4 linked regions of the Danio rerio genome follow. The protein of the gene in region 4 binds, or shares a complex with, the protein of the main gene of each other region. Links are inferred from orthologs where the notes say so. Each region holds a gene or a part of one and is shown on either strand. Other genes may lie near its edges.

Region 1 (5,158 bases), on a different chromosome or scaffold from region 4:
TAACTCTTAAGAGCAGTCACTATCTGTTCATTAGCTACTACAGCAGGGCAGTTCTCGCGATCTACCTGAGCTCAAACTCCCCTCTCGCCTTGCAAATGAGAGGGAACCCCGGGCTTGAGGATCTTATAAGCTCAGGGCTCTCTCCCAGGACAGCATGCCAAACAAGCTTTATAATCGATCCTCAGCTAAGTGTGAACTCTTAAATGGTCTAAATTTTAAAGAGAACGTTCATCCAAAACTGGAAATTCTGTCATTTACTCGTCCCTTGCTTGTTCCAAACCTGTTAGACTTTCTTTTGTTGAACACAAATTAAGATATTTTAAAGAAAGCTGGAAACCTGGAACCATTGACCTCCTTAGTGTTTGTTTTTCCTACTATGGAAGGCAATGGTTACAGGTTACCAGCTTTCTTCAAAATATATTCTGTAGTGTTCAACAGAAGATATATCAACTTTGGTTTGGAACCACTTCAGGGTGAGAAAAGATTTGTTTTTTGGTCAACTATAGCTTTAAGAATTTTTAAACTGGTTTAAATAATACATTTAAATGATAAAAACTTTATAAAAATGTCTACATTTTAACTGCATCACAGACATGTTCAAATGAGCCATTGATGTCTAAAAAATGCACTCTTATTATGCCGAGTTCAGACGATTTTCAAAGTAGTCACGGGAGAGATGTTTTCACACTGCATGACTATCTGGGGTAGCATTCAGTCGCTGCTGTGTTTACACTGCAAGATGGATCGGCCACTGCGGTTCACAATGCATGACCTTACAAAACAAAGTATCACTGACAACTTTGTCCTTGTCTGCAAACTATATATCACAACCAAACACACGTGAGAAGTGACATGTAAACAACACAAAGTCACATAGTATATATTTTGTTTTTAACTACAGTATATAATAAGAATGTACTTATTTTGCTCACCAGGGTTTTAAGGAGAATTAGCAATTTCCCTTCATTTTTTCGGTTGTGGTATTGCTCAGATGACATGTCCAGGGGTGATAGCGTTCCGGCACCACGCCGGATTTCCGGTGTACTGTGGCTGCGGGGAAAAAAAAAATCAGGTTCACGGATATTGATCTGTCATTTCTCTAGATTCACAGAATTCACTCACTGCTGAAAGCGCCGGATTGGATTTTATTAAGTGCAATTTTGTGTGCTCGTGAATCATCTTTTGAGTGTAGACGCCATGTAAATAAAAGATTAATTGTGTAATTTAGAGAGCTTTATAAATTATAACGGATCTTTGTGAGATCTCTATGAACTAAGATTAGTGACGCTTTTTAGTGATAATAAGAGGAGCTGCTTTGCACTTTCCAGGCTATAATCCATTCAGAATTTGTATGAAACTTTCGTTTTCGGCACATATACGCTGATATGTTTTGGGAATGACATCTGCATATTTACGCTGGGTTTATTCTCGAAATAACGGTGAAGCAATAGACGGGACAAAAATATATTTCCCCCTTCTCCTTAAACAACTTAGTGTTTCAGCTATGAAATAGTTCAGTTTTGTATGTAGCCTAATGGCAAAGTGTTTATATTTAGTTTCGTTTTTTATTCAGCTCATTTAGAAAAACGTTTGGAGCATTTTTTATTCGTTAAAAATAAGTTTTTTTTTTTTGTTTTTTTTTAATGAACAGCGCCCAGCGGAAGACCATCATTGTCTGTTTGATCAGTTTGCCTTCTCAGATCATCACGACTTGCCTAAAATAAAAGATATAAAACAGTTAAAGTATAAAACAATGGTAGCTTAAACGTTAAAGAATGTGTGCTATTAGGCGCATAGTTTGCTTATAAAAAGCTTGCAGGACATCGAGGCGCCAGAGCAATCACTTGCATTTTTTCAGTGAGAGCAATTTAAAGTTATCCGTCATTTTTGCTCACAAAGTACGAGTAATACATCAAAAAACGTTACAGCGTTTTTATAAAATAAAGAAAACCAAAATTATGCGCTTTCTGTCGTCTGGTTTTTGAACAGGAGAGCTTAACAAAATGAAGCAAAATGTATATGCCTCACAGACATAATAAATATATTTATAGAAAGCTTTAAATTATTACTTAACAAAATAAAACAAATCGAAAGCAAAAAAACTCCTTCATGTAATCCGTAAAGATGAATTTCTAAAGGCGAGTCCAAGAGGAGATTGCCAGTCAGGATCTTTGCGACACTGACTCAGAATAAGTTTATTAATAAATAATTAAGATATGTCCTTACTCTTTCCTCGACACATTCATTATTATTTGTTTTTGCCGGTGCTTGGGGCGAGTTTTAGCTTATATTTTACAGTCTATGGTAGTGACCTGTGTCACTCAGACTCAGACTGTCGCGCTGCATGTCACTGCAGTGACATCGACACCCGGTGAAGCTTATGACATGAATTAACACGAGCAAAACCATATTTAATCATTACGCGACTTTTAACCTAATTTATCGCGTCGCAAGTTAGTTTATTTGCTGAGCTACTCCACGATGTTTTAATTTAAACGCATTTATTTTATGTATTCGTAGTCATACTTCCGTACGTAATATAGTCATTTGACAGTACATGTCAGTCAAATTTATTGTGGCATGCTTATGTATGGGAGGGGTTACACTTATCTGTTGTACTGTATATTATTGCATCCTGGCAGTTCCTTTGTTCCCTACAATATGGACTTCTCTATGTTTTTAATTCATTCATTTATTTTATTATTTAACTTATTTTCATTTTAAGGTATTTTAAATAATATCCTTTAAAAAGTTATAATAAAATGCATGTTGAAAACTCATAACATATATGCATGTAAGATAACAGTTGTCATTTGCCTAATGATTTTTAAATATTAAAGCAAAGAGACTTATAAGATTAATGTGCTTATAACGTGCTTATACTGACACCTACTAGCACATGTCACAAGATCACTGACACTGGCATGTGTCACTGACATTACTGGCATGTGTCTAAAAAGAGCCACTTGACAATAATGATGATCAGGGTTACACATAGGCTGTTAATATATTTGGGCCCAGGGGCCCACAAGTTATGTGTTAAAAGTGCGTTGCATACATAGTACCCCCACCCCTACTCACCTCAGGGGCAAGGAAAAAAAGTTCAGGCTCAGGAATTTTTTCCACTATCAGCCCTGCATGTCAAACAGTTACAGGTGCTCCTGCCAAATTTACATTAGTTTTTCCTCAATTTCTTAGTTCCAAATACACTAAAAAGAAGCTCTTTTAACGTTTCCTCCAACCTTCTGCTGACCTGCAGATACCTATATTAGTGGATGCTGCTCTCTCATTGGCTGTAGGTAATCGCTGAAAATGTTTCAATCAGAACACATTTCACAGGGTATGATTTTGAATCGCCGACAGGTCTAAATATTTAGCATGCCAAATATCTGATGGGTGTCGGTGACTAAATGGTGATTCTCTCAGATCTCGTTTTTGATAGTTCACACTGTGTGATTGTTACTCACGTGAACAAGCACCGATTTACCTGTGATTTCAGATTTCTCAAAAACTGTCGGCGAGTCAAAAATCGGGGCTAAAATCATGCTGTCTGAACTCGGCATTAGGCTCCCTTATTAGATTTCAGTGTTCGCGAGAGTTTCCTCTGGGTGCTCTTGTTTGCCCCACAAATCCAAAGACATGCGTTACAGGTGAATTGGGTATGTTAAAAACTAACCGTAGTGAATGAGTGTATGTGAGTGTGTATGTGTTTCCTAGTGATTGGTTGCAGCTGGAAGGGCATCCGCTGCGTAAAAACATATGCTGGATAAGTTTCCGGTTCATTCCGCTGTGGCTACCCCAGATTAATAAAGGGACTAAGCCAAAAAGAAAATGAATGAATGAATGAATGGTGTTCTCTAGATAAAATAGAAGCTTTAAAATGGTTTACATGTTAAAATGCAAGTCATGTCCAAAGTCTCCAAGATTATGATAAATAATCAGTCGGTTCTTATCTATTATCCACAAAGCTATTTTCTCCATATTCAGATGTGCAGTCCATTCAGTGGAAATAACCTTTTCGAATTCTCTCTAAGGGTGCAGAATGTAAGAGGTGAGGTTCAGTATTTATGCAGCCTGAAGGGTTGCGCGGTTACACTGTGAAGGATTCACAGATAATTGGAATCTTAGATTGCAAAAGCATTTGCAGATTAACAAGCTCTCAAAGGTAAAAGAGCTCAGTGTGACACCAGAGTCTATGACTGAAGCGTGTGCATGTTCACTGCGGCTCATGTCTAGAGCTTACAATTTCTGTTTGATCTACAGTAATGGAGTACCAGATGCAGATCAACAATTTGAAGGCCAAGCTCCAGGAAACACGTGCCCGCAAGAAGCAACAGGAGAAACTGATCATGGAGGTGGAAAATCAAGCCCTGAGGGTGAGTTTCACTTCCCTGCACTAAAAGATGTAGCTTGCTATTTTCTCTGGCACTCTGCATCATGTAAACACAATGTTTTGGTGACAGTTTTTGTGCAGAACAGACCTTTAAAATGGACTTGAATAAATCTCATGGAAACAAGTTTTTGGCATCTTTTTAAGGCATAAATATTGCATTTCTGCTTTAGCTGTTTTTATGTAACTCACAAAAAAAAAAAAAAAAAAAAGAGTCAAATTCATTGCTCTGGCAACCACTCCATCAGGAGGATTTAGACTCTGTAAAATGGGGTTGAACATGTGGTTTAACAGTGTCACTTCGTTTGGACCGTGGTCACTATACTGGCTTAGTTTGTCCTTGGTCATTACAGTCACATTGGACAGGAAAAGGTCATGCACATCTAAGCTCCATTCACAGGGTCATAAATCAAATAGATCCGTGTACAAGCAGTAAAGTCAGTGTACTGTCAGCTAGATGAAGTCTCTCTCTTTTCTCTTACAGGATCGCTTTCAGGGACTTTTGAATGGTATGATTCGTCAAGAGGAGCAAGAGATGGAACAGGTAAGTTTGATATGGAAATTTGAGATCAATGTATTCAGATACAAAAGAAAATGAACCTTTTTTTGCTAATCAGAAACATGCAGTGAAAGCAGTGCAATCCAGTATCAAACAAATATATTCTGTGGTGGTGAAATAGAATCATGCAGCTCAGTTAATATAATCAGCACACGATTTTTAGTCTTTCATTTTAATGAATCTCCACAGATATCCATCTATTAAATAAA
Region 2 (5,468 bases), on a different chromosome or scaffold from region 4:
GAGTCTTTAAATTAAAAACAGGTCTTAAAAAGAATTCAGAGTTGATCAATCTGTTTAGAGAAAGTATTAAAGTCTTTTACAGCTGGTAAATATTGTGTCTGTTTGGATTATTCAGTGTGTGGCTGTCTGCCTAAGTTTAATTTGTGAATATTGGGCAACATGGTGTTGCAGTGGGTAGCATAATCGCCTCACAGTAAGAAGGTCACTGGTTTGAGTCTTAGCTGGGTCAGTTGGTGTTTCTGTGTGGAGTTTGCATGTTCTCCCCGTGTTGGCGTGGGTTTCCTCCAGGTGCTCCAGTCCAAACACATGCGCTATAGGGGAACTGATTGTAGTGTATGCGTGTGTGTGTGTGTGAATGAGTGTGTATGGATGTTTCCCAGTGATGGGTTGCTGAATACATATGCTGAAAAAGTTGGCGGTTCATTCCGCTGTGGCGAGCCCTGATTAATAAAGGGACAAAGCTGAAAAGAAAATGGCAGCATTGTTATTCCTGCAAGAAGGTCTCTGGTTTGAGTCTCGGCTGGTTCAGTTGGGGCTTCTGTGTGGAGTTTGCATGTTCTCCCGGCATTCGTGTGGGTTTTCTTCAGGTGCTCCGGTTTCCCCCACAGTCCAAACACACGCGCTATAGGGGAATTGGGTGGGCTAAATTGTATGTAATGTGAATGAGTGTGTAAGAGTGTTTCCCAGATATGGGTTGCAGCTGGAAGGGCATCCGCTGCGTAAAACATATGCTGGATAAGTTGTCGGTTCATTCCACTGTGGCGACCCCGGATTAATAAAGAGACTAAGCTGAAAAGAAACTGAATGTTATTCCTGCTGGTCTACAGGCGCCCCCTGCTGGAAGTCCATCAATTCTTTCATATTGAGTGTGAGTGATGCATTAGTTTAGGCGCAGGCGTGTCATGTAGCATCATTTCACTGAAACAGATCATCATTTTTAATGATTCAGGCTGTTTTTATATCATTAACTGCCCACACTAATGTTGATTAAATCTTTGTGTGGATGATGATGAAAGAACAGTTGTAGCCTGTGATGGAGCAAATAAACAGATCACTCCCACCGTTCTGAATTATCTTGCATTGAAAAGCGAGTTAGCACCAGCTAAGACTCTTTAGTTATGCGTAACTGCACAGTCTGTGTTTGGTAACTATACTGTACGCTAAAATGTGCTCAATATTACTGGTTAGAACGAATCAATTCTTCAATCGAGAAGCGTTTTCTAGACAAGAATCAAACATTTTCAGAAATAATGAGTCAAAATGAAGTGAGTTTTTCATTAAAACAAGCAGAGTAATCTTGTGTCAAAAGGCAAAACAAGATTATTTCGCTCACTCCTTTGATTTGCAGACTGTTTTGCTTGTTTTAACTTCATTTTGACTCGTTTGTTTGTACAAGACGTGAGTTGAATGCACTATATACACCATTATACCTCAAAATAGCACAGAATAGTGCATGAGCGTGTGATTATCGATGCATCTTCTTTGTCTTGGAGTTAAACAGATTTCTTTCTGTCCTCCAGCTGATTCAGTCCATCACCGGATCATCGGTCTCTCAAAACGTGGTCATCGCCATGTCCGGAATCGCCAAAGTGTTTGCTGGAGAGATTGTTGAAGAAGGTTAGTGACACGCTGCTCTGCAGACACTCTTATTTGTCTTGTTTCTAGTCCAAAAGCTAAAGCTCAAACTCTTCACCTCAATCTGTGTTCAGTAAATGTGCTGTAAGATATAATGTGGTCAGTTCAAACTAACCATCAAGACTTTCAGACAGTGTGAGACTGATAACGGCAGCCAGAGGAGAGAATACTGTCAGATTACCTGTCCTGCATTACACACACCTCACACACACACGCGGGAGTTCAGTTACTGATGCGCAGATGACATAACGCATAGAGAAACACATATAAATGTGCACACCTTTACAAATATTCTTAATATTTAAAACGTTCACGTATTTAAGATGCTGATGAGCGTTAAACACATCATTACAGTGCTGTGAAGAGCTCCATGACGCTCTGCTGATCGTCTCCGTGATGCATTTCTCTTGCTTGTCTTCAGCTCTGGATGTGTGTGAGAAGTGGGGGGACACTCCACCTCTGCAGCCCAAACACATGAGGGAAGCCGTGCGGAGACTGAAGAGCCGAGAGCAGATTCCCAGCTCCAAACACAAACACATCCTCTTCCACTGAACAGCATCACGGAGAAACAGGACTGGACATCTCTCCGCTGTAAACAGTAATGATGATGTAGAAAAGAGGATTTGTTTTATTATTATTATTATTATTATTATGAAATACTTTGTTGCCTAATGTTGGTTTAGTTTTGATGCCGTGTGTGTTTTGGAAAGCACATCTAATGTTATCTCCTCATGTTTTGATGAAAGAATGTGAAATTAAATGTTTGTACTAAACCCTGCAGTTCTTCACTCTTATTAGGATGAGGATTATTTCAATATTAGGACTGGGTGAAGCAGACTCAGACTAAAAGGCAGCAAACATAAAGACATCAGGCAAAGAAAAGGAATCAGATGTCGGGTGGAGTGCGGCGTGTCCCACCCTACGTGACGTCACGCGACTCAGAACAAGCAGTGGTGTAATACAGTGGTGGGAGTCGCTTGGTGATTTAAAAAACTCAAATAAATGTTACTGAACTATTATGATGACCATATTTTATCCATAACCTACAGAAGATACAAATAGCCGTTTTTAATAGTAAACAACAACATGCAAATGATTAGCCCTCAGCCTTTACATGATCTTCACAGGATCAGTGTGTTTACATTGGATCATCCACACAGCACTCGCGTCAGCTGCAGCAGATTTTACAGCACCGCGATAAACTTTCTGACACCTTTATGGCACTGGAGTACATTAAAAATAACTACAGACCACAACTGAACACTGAGGATGATCTCTGAGTGCCGGTCTCCGAAATTAAACCAAGAATAGACTTGTGCTGAACACAGAGAGTGATATGCAATAAAAGCCCCGTCTACTCCATATTCAGTCTCAACTGAGAGCACATCAACACACTGAGATAAAAGCCTCGGCAGCTTCTGATTCACCATGACTTCTCAAGTCACCATGAGCCAGATGTTGCTGCATACTTTATTACGGTGAATGTAAGTGTTTCAGTAGTGTTGTGTGTGTGTGTCACCAATGGTTTGATGCTGAAATCTTGTGCGGTGTGTTGTTAGGAGCTAGGTACACTCAGAACACACTCCGTTTGTATATGAACACTCAGAGTTCCAGCGGTTTCATGAACAGCAGATTCTGGGACTTTTTAAAGCATTCATTTTAAATCAAGCACCTCCGCGCTTCACACTGCCAGCATATGCAGCGCCATGGAAGACCTCACTGTACCTAATATTTCACTCACACTTAATATTTACATTAAAATAGCAATGATCAGGATACATTCGTTCATTTTCCTTCAGCTGAGTCCCTTATTTATCAGGGGTCACCACAGCGGAATGAACTGTCAACTATTCCAGCATATGTTTTACACAGCGGATGGCCTTCCTGATGCAATCCAGTACTGGGAAACACCCATACACCCTCATTCACACACACACTCATACACTACGGCCAGTGTAGTTGATCAGTTCCCCTATAGCGCATGTGTTTGGACTGTGGGGGGAGTTCTTGTGTAAGATGTAAGTGTAAGGTTTATAAATGAAGAATTTCTCGTTTGTTTTTGGTTCATTTTCTGAAAGCAGAACAGCACAATTGTTGAAATAACATCATAAACGTTAAACTCAAGCACCTCTGTTTGTTTTTAAGCTCTTCCCATGCCTTGAATTCACATGTGTGAAACTTGAAGCACTTTCAAGACTCATGGGAACCCAGAACACTTGGTTTTATCAAAACATGCAACCGTTGTTTGATAAAAGAAATGCATTTTTAACCTTTAAGAAACATTTTATTGATAATAATCATTGATCTTGACATATTTCCACACAGTTATGGTTCACAGAACCAACAAAATATCAGCTTTGTTTGAATGTTTTGTTCCAGGTGGTGAGATAAAGCATGAGAGAAGACTAAAACACAGTAATGAAGCGATCACAGGTCTAAATAAACCTCAGAGAAGCAACACCATGAGGGAAAACCCCAACTCAGACTTACAGAAAACGTCCTGTAATCCTACATTTCCACACTTTCTGCTGCCCTAAACATTGATCTGCTCTAATTTACTATGACCTTTTATGTGAAGCTGCTTTGACACCATCTACATTGTAAAAGCGCTGTACAAATAAAAGTGAACTGAATTGAATTGATCTGGGCGACTAATCAGATTTTCTTCATCTCAGATGTTCTCTAGAAACTCGTTTTGACAGCTGTGTTTCCATCCTAACATGCAAATAGATGCAAATTATGCGCAAAACTGCAATATTGCTTAAAATATCCGTGAATAAATGTTAGCGGTTAAAAACTAAATCACATCACGCATACTGATGAAGCTCAGAGTTTATCTGCATTTATTCTCAGCAAATAAAACCTTTTATCCTGGTAATTATGCGCATATGTTTTATATGAATGTTTTCCAAATTTATAGACATCTTGGCATCTATATGAAGCACATTTTACGTTATAAGTGAAGTTTATTTATAAGCTAATTTCAGAGGATCTCGTGCTTATGATTGACCACAGCCGGTCCCTCATTATCCTGTTCATGATTGACCAATCAGACGATCCCTAAGTCACTACAAATACCCTGAGCTCCATATCACAGCCATCTTGGTTTTGAAGAGTCCCCCCTTCCACCCCTACAGTTTATGTGCATTTTTATTTTTATCAAATACAACCTTTTATCCTACTAGTTGTGCACATGTTTTTATGCACGTTTTCCAAGTTTATAGACATCTATATTAAGCTGTTTTTGCACAATAATCATTGCTGGATGGAAACACAGCTACTGCAGATTCACATTAGTTGATGAATCTGATGTTAATCTTCAAGTTGGTGTTAAAATGACCGACTTTGGTATCTAATCTGAGCAGATCTGTTCTGAAACATTAAACTAGTGTGAGCATTACTGAGAAATATTAACTAAACAATCATCCAACAAATCATTCAGTTCATCAGCGCACACACACACACACACGTCAATTTAGTACCAAACACACAGTTAAAAACAGCACAGTTAGTCAAATCAGAACAAACAGCACTCGCTCTGATCCCTCATCTACAGTTAAAGTCCTCAAATAAAGCTTCCACATTAATGATGATGATGATGATGATGCACTTGTGAGAGAATTCAAGTAAACTCATGCATAAAACACAGAGGTCGTTTTCTTCCATGCACTGAATGAAGTTGTTTTTGTATTATTAATTCTACACTAACATCTACTGAGAATGTCTTCATACGACTGTAACCCACAGGAGTCTGGAAGACACAAGAGTCTAAATACACCAACAGAGAGAGCTTAGTGTATCTGAACGCTACACATTTGACTGACAGCTGAAGC
Region 3 (5,158 bases), on a different chromosome or scaffold from region 4:
ACCATAAACTAAATCTACATTTGACCCTCAAACACTGTAGTTTTATCTGAGATCTGTTCCCTTGTGCTGGCAACTTAAGGCCCTGTTTACACTTGTGTGTTTTAGTTTTAAAACGGCGTTTTAGATCAAAAACAATCCGCGTCCACACTAGCGTTTCTGAACAATATATGTGTGTGTGTGTGTGTGTGTGTGTGTGTGTGTGTGTGTGTGTGTGTGTGTGTGTGTGTGTGTGTGTGTGTGTGTGTGTGTGTGTGTGTGTGTGTGTGTGTGTGTGTGTGTGTGTGTGTGTGTGTGTGTGTGTGTGTGTGTGTGTGTGTGTGTGTGTGTGTGTGTGTGTGTGTGTGTGTGTGTGTGTGTGTGTGTGTGTGTGTGTATATATAATGTATATAAAATCTAATGTATGATGTCTTGTTTCACTTCAGTGCCAACCATTCTTTTTTTTTTTTTTTTTAGACCTGAATTTGATTGATAAAGAGTCAGATGATGTTCTAGAGAGGATCATGGATGAGAAGACGTCCAGCGAGTCTAAGATCCTCCATGGTCACAGTGGGCCAGTGTATGGGGTCAGCTTCAGCCCAGACAGGTATCAAGAAAATTAGAGGAACAATTCATGGTTAAATAAGTTAGACAGAACTTAAATCAGAACAGAGTTTGCCACCCCTAAAAATATTCTTGCATGATTTATTATCTTTTTTTTCAGCTGCTGTACACTACCTGACAAAAGTCTTGTTGTCTATCCAAGTTTAAGGAACAACAAATAATAACTTGACTTCTAGTTTATCATTTGGTGTCAGAAGTAGCTTATATGAAAGGAAAAGGCCCCTAGATTACGCTTATTTTACCAAAATAAGATGTGATCATACCTTGATTTTTAATTATGTAATTAGGACAGTAAGGTCTGACTTCACCTAAACAAAAGTCTTGGCACTTAAAAGAAATAATGTACAGTATAGAATATAAAGTCATGTTGCAGTGGAGAAAAAATTTATATTGTGTAAGACTCCCATGAGCTTGGAGGACTGCATCCATACATCTCTGCAATGACTCAAATAACGTATTAATAAAGTCATCTGGAATGGCAAAGAAAGTGTCCTTGCAGAGTTCATCAAGATTCTTTAGATTCATCTTCAATGCCTTCTCCTTCATGTTACCCCAGACATGCTCAATAATGTTCATGTCTGGTGACTGGGCTGGCAAATCCTGGAGCACCTTGACCTTCTTTGCTTTCAGGATCTTTGATGTGGAGGCTGAAGTTTGAGAAGGAGCGCTATCCTGCTGAAGAAGTTGCCCTCTCCTGTGGTTTGTAATAGGCAACACAAATGTCTTGATACCTCAGGCTGTTGATGTTGCCATCCACTCTGCAGATCTCTCATATGCCCCCATTCTGAATGTAACCCCAAACCATGAGTTTTCTTTTACCAAACTTGACTGATTTCTATGAGAATCTTGGCTCCATGCTGGTTCCAGTAGGTCTTCTCCAGTATTTGTGGTGATTGGGATGCAGTTCAACAGATGTGGAAAAATGGCAATTTTCCAAATGATCAACTAGATGTCAAGTTGTTATTTGTTGCTCTTACATCTGGAATCGATGACAAGACTTTTGTCAGGTAGTGTAGGGTGTGGTTTAATATCTCTGTCTGTGTCATAGGAACTATCTGTTGTCCAGCTCTGAGGACGGTACAATCCGACTATGGAGCCTGCAGACGTTTACTTGTCTTGTAGGGTATAAAGGACACAATTATCCAGTGTGGGACACTCAGTTCTCACCATTCGGCTACTACTTTGTGTCTGGAGGACATGACAGAGTGGCAAGGTAAGGTGGATTGTCATTACTCTTATCCTGAAATACCTGGTATCGGATTGGAGAGAAAATAATAGGTATCGCCCCTCCCTAGTAACAATGTTATAAAAAAAATTGTTATTGGGTGTCACAGTGGCTCAGTGGTTAGCACTGTTGCCTTACAGCAAGAAGGTTGCTGGTTTGAGCCTCGGCTGGGCCAACTGGCATTTCTGTGTGGAGTTTGCATGTTCTCCCCGTATTGGCGTGGGTTTCCTCCAGGTGCTCCGGCTTCCCTTACAGTCGAAAGGCATGCGCTATTGGTGAACTGGGTAGACTAAATTGGCCGTAGTGTATGAGTTAGTGATGGGTCATTCTTGAACGATTCGGTCATTTTGAACAAATCTTCAATATGACTCGGGAACTACGAATCCTCTCAGGGAATGATTCGTTCATCCGCGCGTGCGCACATTTGTGCAGGTGGTATCGTTTATTTCAAGTCTTTTGAGTCATTCATCGCAGAAAGGCAGAGGCCAATCATATGCGTTTAGAGCCGGAAAAAGAATTAATCCGTTCATCTCTCGAGTCCTCTATCGAGTCTGAGTCATTCGTTCCTCACGGGCCAATCATATGCGTTTAGAGCCGGAAAAAGAATTGATCTGTTCATCTCTCGAGTCCTCTATCGGGTCTGAGTCATTCGTTCCTCACGGGCCAATCATATGCGTTTAGAGCCGGAAAAAGAATTGATCCGTTCATCTCTCGAGTCCTCTATCGGATTTGAGTCATTCTGTCACGTGATGAACGAACGACTCAAAAACCAGAAGACTCGAAAGGTGAACTAATCGTCATGGCTCCTATCGGCTCAGACTGTGAACATTGGTTACGATTATATGTATGTGACTGTCATGCTGTGTTCACACCAGACGCGGAACGTGCGGATAAATCGTGCTATTCGCGCGTAAATAGCCTCATGAACATTTGAGTTTACTCGCTTCATGCGCGCGTCAAACCCCGCATCTTTCGCGTGTCAAATTCACATCAAAACAGACGCGGATTCGCGTGATGGGCAGGGCTTCTGTCTGCCCGAAGACTCTAGCTTCATAGCTAAATGGCTAACATGGATTTTATGAAGAAAATAACAGTGTTTTTGTGCTTTATGAAGACTGAAAAACAGCGTCGATATGTTTAGGGTCGTGTCTGAGTCCATTACATTCTTTCAGAGGTGCATCCAGCTCTGTGAGCTCATAAACTCCTCCAGAAACTTAACCTGGATGACGGAGGCTTTCAGCGGTGCTTCTGACTGAGCCAAGCCGTGTTTGATGAACTGTTGTCGGTGAAGGCTGGAGGATTTCCCTCGGAACAACGACAACAGGTTCTACGTCACAATCACGCCCCCACAAGAGCAAGTGTCTGATTGGTTAACGCGCGCGAATGTACGCTGAAGTTCAGATTTTCAAAATCAAAAGATTCGCGAGAAACGCTCGTTAAGCGCGTCAAACGCGCAAAACGCTCAATTCGCCCCGCGTCATTCGCGCAATTTGCGTCATTAGCGCCGCGCCATTCGCGTGTATCGCGCCGCAGGAGTTCTATTCGCGCGTTTGCATTGACTTAACATGTAAATCACTCGCGCTTGACGCGCGTGCCGCGTCTGGTGTGAACGCAGCATCAGTGTAACGTGAACGAACCACTGACATTTAAAGACATGAAGAGGTGAGCTGACCAAAGAGACAACAAAACCTTCATAGACAAAAGAGCATGTAAACATTGAATTATTATTTTCTCCTTCTTATAGTATTCTATTTATGACTTATTTGTCATGTGATCAACCTTTTGGGCTAGTTGTAGATGTGTTTGGAAGCAATTCATAAGCATTTTAATAATATTTTGGCAAATTGAACCAAATGAACGAAAAAGGATTCATTCATCTCGATGAACGAGATGAAGATCTGAGTCGGTAAAATGATCCGAACTTCCCATCACCAGTATGAGTGTGTGTGTGTGTATGGGTTTTACTCAGTACTGGCTGCGGCTGTAAGGGCATCTGCGTAAAGCATACGCCTGAGTAGTTAGCGGTTTATTCCGCTGTGGCAACCCCTGATAAATAAGGGACTAAGCTGTAGGAAAGTAAAAATCAAATCCACCCACGTTTGTCTTCATCTGATATCATGATTTGCTTGTCAGGCTCTGGGCGACGGATCATTACCAGCCTTTACGGATATTTGCTGGTCATCTCGCAGACGTCACCTGCACACGATTCCATCCCAACTCCAACTATGTGGCCACGGGCTCGTCCGACCGCACCGTACGACTCTGGGACGTCCTGAATGGAAACTGTGTTCGCATTTTCACAGGTCACAAGGTATTTAAGGCTTCCAAAAATGTTGGAATGAAGACAGCACTGCAAAGAAAATCATATTAATTACATTTTACCACCGTCTCTGAGAGTTTATTTCAATTTGCCTGCTTCCCCTCAACATTACATTGTGTTTTGCATCTGTGTAGGGCTAATGTCATAGTATTTAACTAGAAAAGTAAAGTTCGTAGACAATCTTTATAGCCGCTTGAGAAAGCCTCGTCTGAAAGTCTGAAGTAGTTTTAAAAATTGAATAACTGAAGTAGTTTAAGAAGTTTGAAGCAGTTGGCATAGACAGATCAGTACATTTATGTTAGCATGTTTCTAGTATGGATCGGCATGTTTCTTGCTTGGTGGTGCTAGGGTGTTCTGAGTGGTTGCTAAGGTATTACTAGGATGTTCTGACTGGTTGCTAGGGCATTGCTATGGTGTTTTGACTTTTAAGGTGTTGCTAGGCAGTTGCTAAGGTGTTCTGAGTGGTTGATCGGTGGTTGCTAAGGGTGCTAGGGTGTTTCAGAGAGTTGTTAATGTGTTGCTAGGCCGTTGCTTGGGTATTCAGTGTGGTCGCTAAGCTGTCAACAGAGTGGTTGCTAAGGCATTGCTAGGGTGCTCTAGGTGGTCGCTAAGGTGTTGCTGGGTGGTTGATAGGGTGTTCTAAGTGGTTGCTAGTGCATTGCTAGGCGGTTACTAGGGTGTTCTGATTGGTTGCTTGATCAATGCAAAGGTGTTGCTTGGGTGTTCTGAGTGGTTGCTAGCCAGTTGCTATGGTGTTCTGAGTGGTTGCTAAGGTGCTGCTAGCCAGTTGCTTAGGCATTGCTAGTTGGTAGCTAAGGTGTTGCTAGGCGGTTGCTAGAGTGCTCTAAATGGTTGCTAAGGTGTTTTGATTAGTGGCTAGGTGGTTGCTTGGATGTTCTAGTTCGTTGCTAAGGTGTTGCTATGGTGTTTTGAGTGGTTGCTAAAGTGTTGCTTGGGTCTTCTGAGTGGTTGCTAAGGTGTTTCTAGGCAGTTGCTATGGTGTTCTGAGTGGT
Region 4 (5,711 bases):
CGTTGGAACAACTTTTGGATAGTTTTAATTTTCCAGCTGATGAACATGACACCTAAATCGCATCTTTAAACAATTTAAGCAAAAATTCTGAGAAAATCTGAAATTATAAAATTATTACATGTTCACTTTACACATTTTATTTTACACACACTTTATTTTAAGGTACAATTCTCGCTGTTAACAACCCATTATCTAACACTTTTAGCTCAAACTACTCACTTGTTGCTTATTAATAGTTAGTAAGGTAGAAGTTGGGTTTAGGTATTGGGTAGGATTAGGGATGTAGAATAAGATCATACTTTAGAAGTACTAATAAACTGCCAATCTCTTAATAACAGGCAGCTAATAAGCCAGTAGTGAAATCGTGGAAACCGATAAATAAACTAAAGTATTAAGAGTTTTTGTTTATCTTTCATACATTTAAAGTGCTTTTATCATATTTGACCCAACAGCTTTCTGAGAGAAAGCTTTCTTATTCCGAACTCACATCCTTGGATCTGATGCTTCAAATCCAGCTCTGTTGAGATAGTATCCTGTAACTGCGTCTGGAATCTGAAGCACAGACAGTTTGTTAGCAGTACAACTCATAAAATATCATTAATAACCAAAGAATAAACTACAAATCACAAAAGGGAGCTCACTGTAGGAGTGTAATCCTCCAGCTGCATGAGGAAATCTGCCAGTGGTGTAGTTGAGATCACAGGCTTCACGTCTCCGTTGGCGATCTCTGTGGGCACATACACGCCGTTTGATACAGTGGAGTCGGAGGATGGGGTTGCCATGGAAGCCGAAGTAGACACTTTGAGGGCGGAAAGTAAGTATAACAGACAATTTAAGGCAATAAAACAACAATTGACATTACAGGCAACAATCAAAAGGCAGCTAAAACTTCTCTTTCATGAGCACTAAACTACAACCTAACAAAAAATTCTTCTTCTCATTCTTTCCTTAATCCCTCCCTACTTAAGTCTGCATTTAATAAAATTTCCATAGATTATTTTGCTAGCGCAGATTGTTAGTCTCAAAGTGAACGATTCATATGTGCAAGTTAATCCACTTAAGAGGAACAGTTTAATCTAAATCTGACCATCTGCTTCTGCTCTGTTATGGCAGTTCTTCTCTGATGACGTCAGTTTGACAGATTGGAGCAAAAGATGCTTAGCCACACCTCTTCAACCGTTAAGTTTGCCACAAGTGAAAGATGACAGGAGCACAAAAATAAAACCCGCCCACTGCTCAATATTTCAATTCAGTTGGAAATAGGTCATCACACTGAAATAAAAGTTTGCAACAACTTCCTGTTAATACAGGCATTAAAGTGGGCATTGGCTCTTTGTGATAAATCACAATACCCTTTCTCATTTGACAGTTGCTTTGGACAAAAGTTGGACAACTAAGTGTAAATAATTGAATTTATAATTAAATGTTTGTAGGTAAATGCTAAGCTCTCTGATCAGGGCTGGGTAGTAACTAGGCCCACATGGAATCTGTGTGCGCAGAAATCCACAGATTTCCACAGGGTTTTTTTTTGCCAAATTTATATATTTTATTATATATATATATATATATATATATATATTATTATTATTATTATTATTACATTTATTTCAGTAATATTATTGACCATATGAAAATGTTCATATGATTTATTTACAATACAGTTTGTAAAGTAATATTTCGTCTTTTAGTAGATTTTAGTAGACTTGCTTTGTTTACCAAATAAGTGCATCTAATTATTTAATTAAAAAATTAAATAAGTTAAAATTCCATATATTAAGTATTTAGTTAAGTTGCTTCCAAAATCTTTTTGCATAAATTCACACATTTTTTACTTCTGCGCAGAAACAGCAAAAAATGTCTGCAGATTCTGTCTGGCCGTGGTAATAACACATGATAACTATATTTTACATGATATAATTTTCAAATAAAACAGTAATATGTGACAGGATTACAATATAACAACTAATAGTTTTTTTTAATATGATGCAGCTTAAAGTGGCTTTATGAATTGTGTAAATAAATGCATTAAAACCACAAATTTTGTGAATTGGTCGCTCTTCATTTTCTTTAAGCACAGAGTCTGCCCCAGGAGTTTATGTTGACATTAAAATTTGGTATATTGTGAATTTACTGTTTAATAATGGAAAAGTATTTTAGTGTAAAGTGTAAATAGGAAGTGTAAGTAAACTAATTTTACTCATTTTAAAATAGAAACTATCACTCACATCTTACTATCTTTTTTTAATACTTAGTTTTTATGTATTTTTTTAGAAACATATAACCAGTGGGAACAAAACAAACTATAAAACATATAAACACACATACATAACAAGTATATACGTGTATATACACAAATACATCCATTCCACACAAGTATATCTATATGCATACATATATAAAAAACAGTAAATTAACCTCATCAAGAAAATAAATGAATAAAAAAGTACAAAACAAATATAATAAAAGGTTGACAAACATTCTCGCAATGATGCATAACCTCTAGAATTACGTAAACGTTAAATTATGGATAATTGTATTGCCGTTGTAGAGAAAGCCAGCCATCTCTTTTTCTATTTGTAATCATTTTTTCCATTTCTGTTATTATTTTGAGCGGATCTTCTTCATACCATTTCCAGGTTATAGCTTTTCTTACTTTTTGCCAATAATATTTTAAATAGATATCCAGCCTCCTTTTCAAGTTTAATAGTTATGTCCCCTAGATAAAGTACTTTGAATGATCTAGAAATATGAAGATCAAAAATATAATTAATGGCCGAGAGTAGTTTCTCAAAAACTGTTCATTCTTAAGCACTGCCAGGATATATGTGCATGATGTGCCTCTTCTACCCCCCACAGTTGTCTCACTACCTTTATACCTTAAAAGAAACAAATTTTACTTTCTTAAATCGATTTTTTAAAATAAATTGTCACTATTTGCACCTTGATTTGAAAATGTGATTGGCTTGTTTTTCAGTTGTTGTCTATACTACTATACCCGTTTTATGCTATTGCCCTTGAAAATTCACTGTTGTACTAATTGCAGTAAAAAAGAAAAGCAAGAGCACCCCAAGAAAGAAGACTTGAAGTTGACCATGTAATATTTAGCTGTAGTGAGGAAATGTCATGTAGGCCACATTGCACATTGCGTTTAAAATCACTTGGATTTCTGTGATCAACCCATTCTGTCAAATGTTTGTCTGCATGCCTAGGTGCTTGATTATAATACACCTGAATTCAATGGAGGGGTGTCCCAAAAACGTTGGTTTTTGCTGTAACGTTACCTCAGATCTGTGAAATGTTCATCTCTTTGACATGCGTTTGACAAGTTTTACAATATACGAGAAGTTTAAACGATTAGTTATCTGTTTGCTTCGTACAACTATTATTCAGGAGCAAAAATCTGCATTAAAACGTGAAATAAATAAAGTTGTGACTTTTTTGTGATAATTGGCGATAACAACTAATATAAAAAAAGCGATAAACTGTTATTATTTTCAAGTCACATCGCCCAGTAAAAAATGAGTGTTGTGGAAAAGACACACAGAGACACACACCATTGCTGCTGGCGAGCGCAGGGATGCTGCTGGCGTTTGTGGTGCTGCTGTTCGGGACGCAGTTGCTGCTGCTGGACGCCGCCGCTGCTGCTCCGGTCTGCGTGAGATCCACGTTCATTTTCCCGGCTTAGTTTATGTATTGCAAACGCTAAGCTATACTAGAAAAACACACACAGTTTAAACTAATGTTGGGTTGAGTCGAGCGCTCATTTATGCCGTTTAAACGGCGAAGTATCGGTCGCTCGCTCTGATGATAAAAATATTTACGCTGCAACTGCGTCAGGTGATCAACACTTCCGTGTGCAACCACTATGAAATCCCGCTTGGTGTTGGAAATCGTCAATGGTTCCGGATAAATCCCTTTTAGCTCACATTTATTATTTGTAGTATTGAATTTAAAGCGCAAACTTTGTCATACGTATTTGGCATTCAATATATAATTTGCAGTTCATCCAAAAGGAGAAAGAAGAAACATATTGCGTGTGTAGACCTAGACCGAGGACATTTTGCAACAGCTCCATCTAGTGATGGCGGTGAAGTGGGTTATTTCACACAAAGGAATGTCAGAAAACTTAAATATAGTTATAGTGTTCAAATTACACTTTAAGGTCTCTGTGACTGCAACTAATACACTTAAACCACAAAATAATCTTGTTATTAGCGTATCAATCTTACATGCTGTCATGTTACTCATGTTATCTTAAATAATATTAATAATTAAAATAAAATAGATTATACAAATATAAATTTGACCACCCCTATGGTTAAAGGCATAATCGCGCCAATCAGTCTTTGCAAGACTCATTCAACAGCGTGGATACTGTAGTGTTCGAGACAGTTCTCTTGTAAAATAGGTGTTTGTATAGTTTGAGTTACAGTAACCTCTAAAATAATAAGAGAATATTTAAATGTCTTTAGATGTCATTTAAAAAAAAAGGCTAAATTTGACAGAGTAATTTGCACTCTGAGTATTAGTATTAAATATATTATATATATTATAATAATATTGTAAGTATTATTATAATACTTTAATTAAAATTTGAATATATCATCTTATAGCCTGTCATTTAGAGTTTATTATTTCTAAAAATGGCTATTAAATCTTATGGCATTATTCATTCATTTTCTTTCAGCTTAGTCCCTTTATTCATCAGGGGTCGCCACAGCAAAATGAACCGCCAACTTATCCAGCCTATGTTTTACACAGCGCATGCCCTTCCAGCTGCATTCCAGTAGTGGGAAACATCAATATACCCTCAATCACACACATACACTACGACCAATTAAGTTTATTCAATTCACCTTAACTGCATGTGTTTGGACTGTGTGGGAAACCAGAGCTCTTTTGGAATTAATGAAATTTAAATAAATTCCTTAGAATGCCTGCTTAAATCCAGTCCAAAATAATAAATATTATTCTGAAAGGTTTCTAGAACAAACTTAAGTGTGTTAGATCTTGGAGGGGAAAATGTTATTAATTTCCTAAATGCTTTTTTTGGACACTAATATTAATTAATAGATAATTTAACAAAAGAAAAAAAAAATGTTTGGGTGTGTGAAAACACAAAGGTTTGTTCTCGTATTTTTAAACTCTTTCAAGCCAAAACACACCCTAACACAGTGTCACGAGTTGAACATAAAACTACAAAAATATTTTTAATAATTTGAAACTTAAGATTATTTTGTTATTAATATATTTACAATTTTTAATACAACTTTTATTGCTTTATTATTTGCCTGCATTTGATCATTTATTTTTATAAATCACAATAAGGTTTCTAAATCTACATCTTCGATTTAGATATATGGGTGGCACACATAACAGTAGTCACATCAATGACCAACATAAAATGTTTCCAAATTAAAAGCATTTTGTTTTATTGTCACAAGAATCATACACTTTAGTAACAAAATCAAAAATAAATGTGCATATAGAAGCCACATATCAATATGTATAAGCCTACGAGAGTATGATACCATAACCACCAGATTCGACTGACACAGACGCTGACAGTAAGGTACAGATATGGTCAGGATGGTTCAATGCCTTCTCAACCATTGTCAAGTCGCTGGAATGACGAACAAAAAGATAAAAAAAACATGCCATCAGATGAAATCGTTAAGACTACAACACTCATTCCTCATCCTCCTAGCATT

The links.
Region 1: taf10 (region 4) and taf7 share a complex: the UniProt entries of both Homo sapiens proteins name them as parts of the TFIID basal transcription factor complex. The link is inferred for Danio rerio from reciprocal best matches to the Homo sapiens genes TAF10 and TAF7.
Region 2: taf10 (region 4) and taf11 share a complex: the UniProt entries of both Homo sapiens proteins name them as parts of the TFIID basal transcription factor complex. The link is inferred for Danio rerio from reciprocal best matches to the Homo sapiens genes TAF10 and TAF11.
Region 3: taf10 (region 4) and taf5 share a complex: the UniProt entries of both Homo sapiens proteins name them as parts of the TFIID basal transcription factor complex. The link is inferred for Danio rerio from reciprocal best matches to the Homo sapiens genes TAF10 and TAF5.

The regions. Positions count from the first base shown.
Region 1 is NC_133189.1:45,463,598-45,468,755, forward strand, and holds part of taf7 (transcription initiation factor TFIID subunit 7), read left to right. Parts: exon of another isoform or gene 1-1,006; intron 1,007-3,149; exon of another isoform or gene 3,150-3,585; intron 3,586-4,263; coding exon 4,264-4,376; intron 4,377-4,874; coding exon 4,875-4,934; intron 4,935-5,158. UniProt on the Homo sapiens protein: The TFIID basal transcription factor complex plays a major role in the initiation of RNA polymerase II (Pol II)-dependent transcription.
Region 2 is NC_133198.1:383,268-388,735, forward strand, and holds the end of taf11 (transcription initiation factor TFIID subunit 11), read left to right. Parts: intron 1-1,520; coding exon 1,521-1,617; intron 1,618-2,056; coding exon 2,057-2,187; 3' UTR 2,188-4,277; downstream 4,278-5,468. UniProt on the Homo sapiens protein: The TFIID basal transcription factor complex plays a major role in the initiation of RNA polymerase II (Pol II)-dependent transcription.
Region 3 is NC_133176.1:52,737,220-52,742,377, forward strand, and holds part of taf5 (transcription initiation factor TFIID subunit 5), read left to right. Parts: intron 1-453; coding exon 454-583; intron 584-1,648; coding exon 1,649-1,813; intron 1,814-3,958; coding exon 3,959-4,136; intron 4,137-5,158. UniProt on the Homo sapiens protein: The TFIID basal transcription factor complex plays a major role in the initiation of RNA polymerase II (Pol II)-dependent transcription.
Region 4 is NC_133183.1:27,711,012-27,716,722, forward strand, and holds the start of taf10 (transcription initiation factor TFIID subunit 10), read right to left. Parts: upstream 3,892-5,711; 5' UTR 3,673-3,891; coding exon 3,555-3,672; intron 800-3,554; coding exon 642-799; intron 553-641; coding exon 488-552; intron 1-487. UniProt on the Homo sapiens protein: The TFIID basal transcription factor complex plays a major role in the initiation of RNA polymerase II (Pol II)-dependent transcription.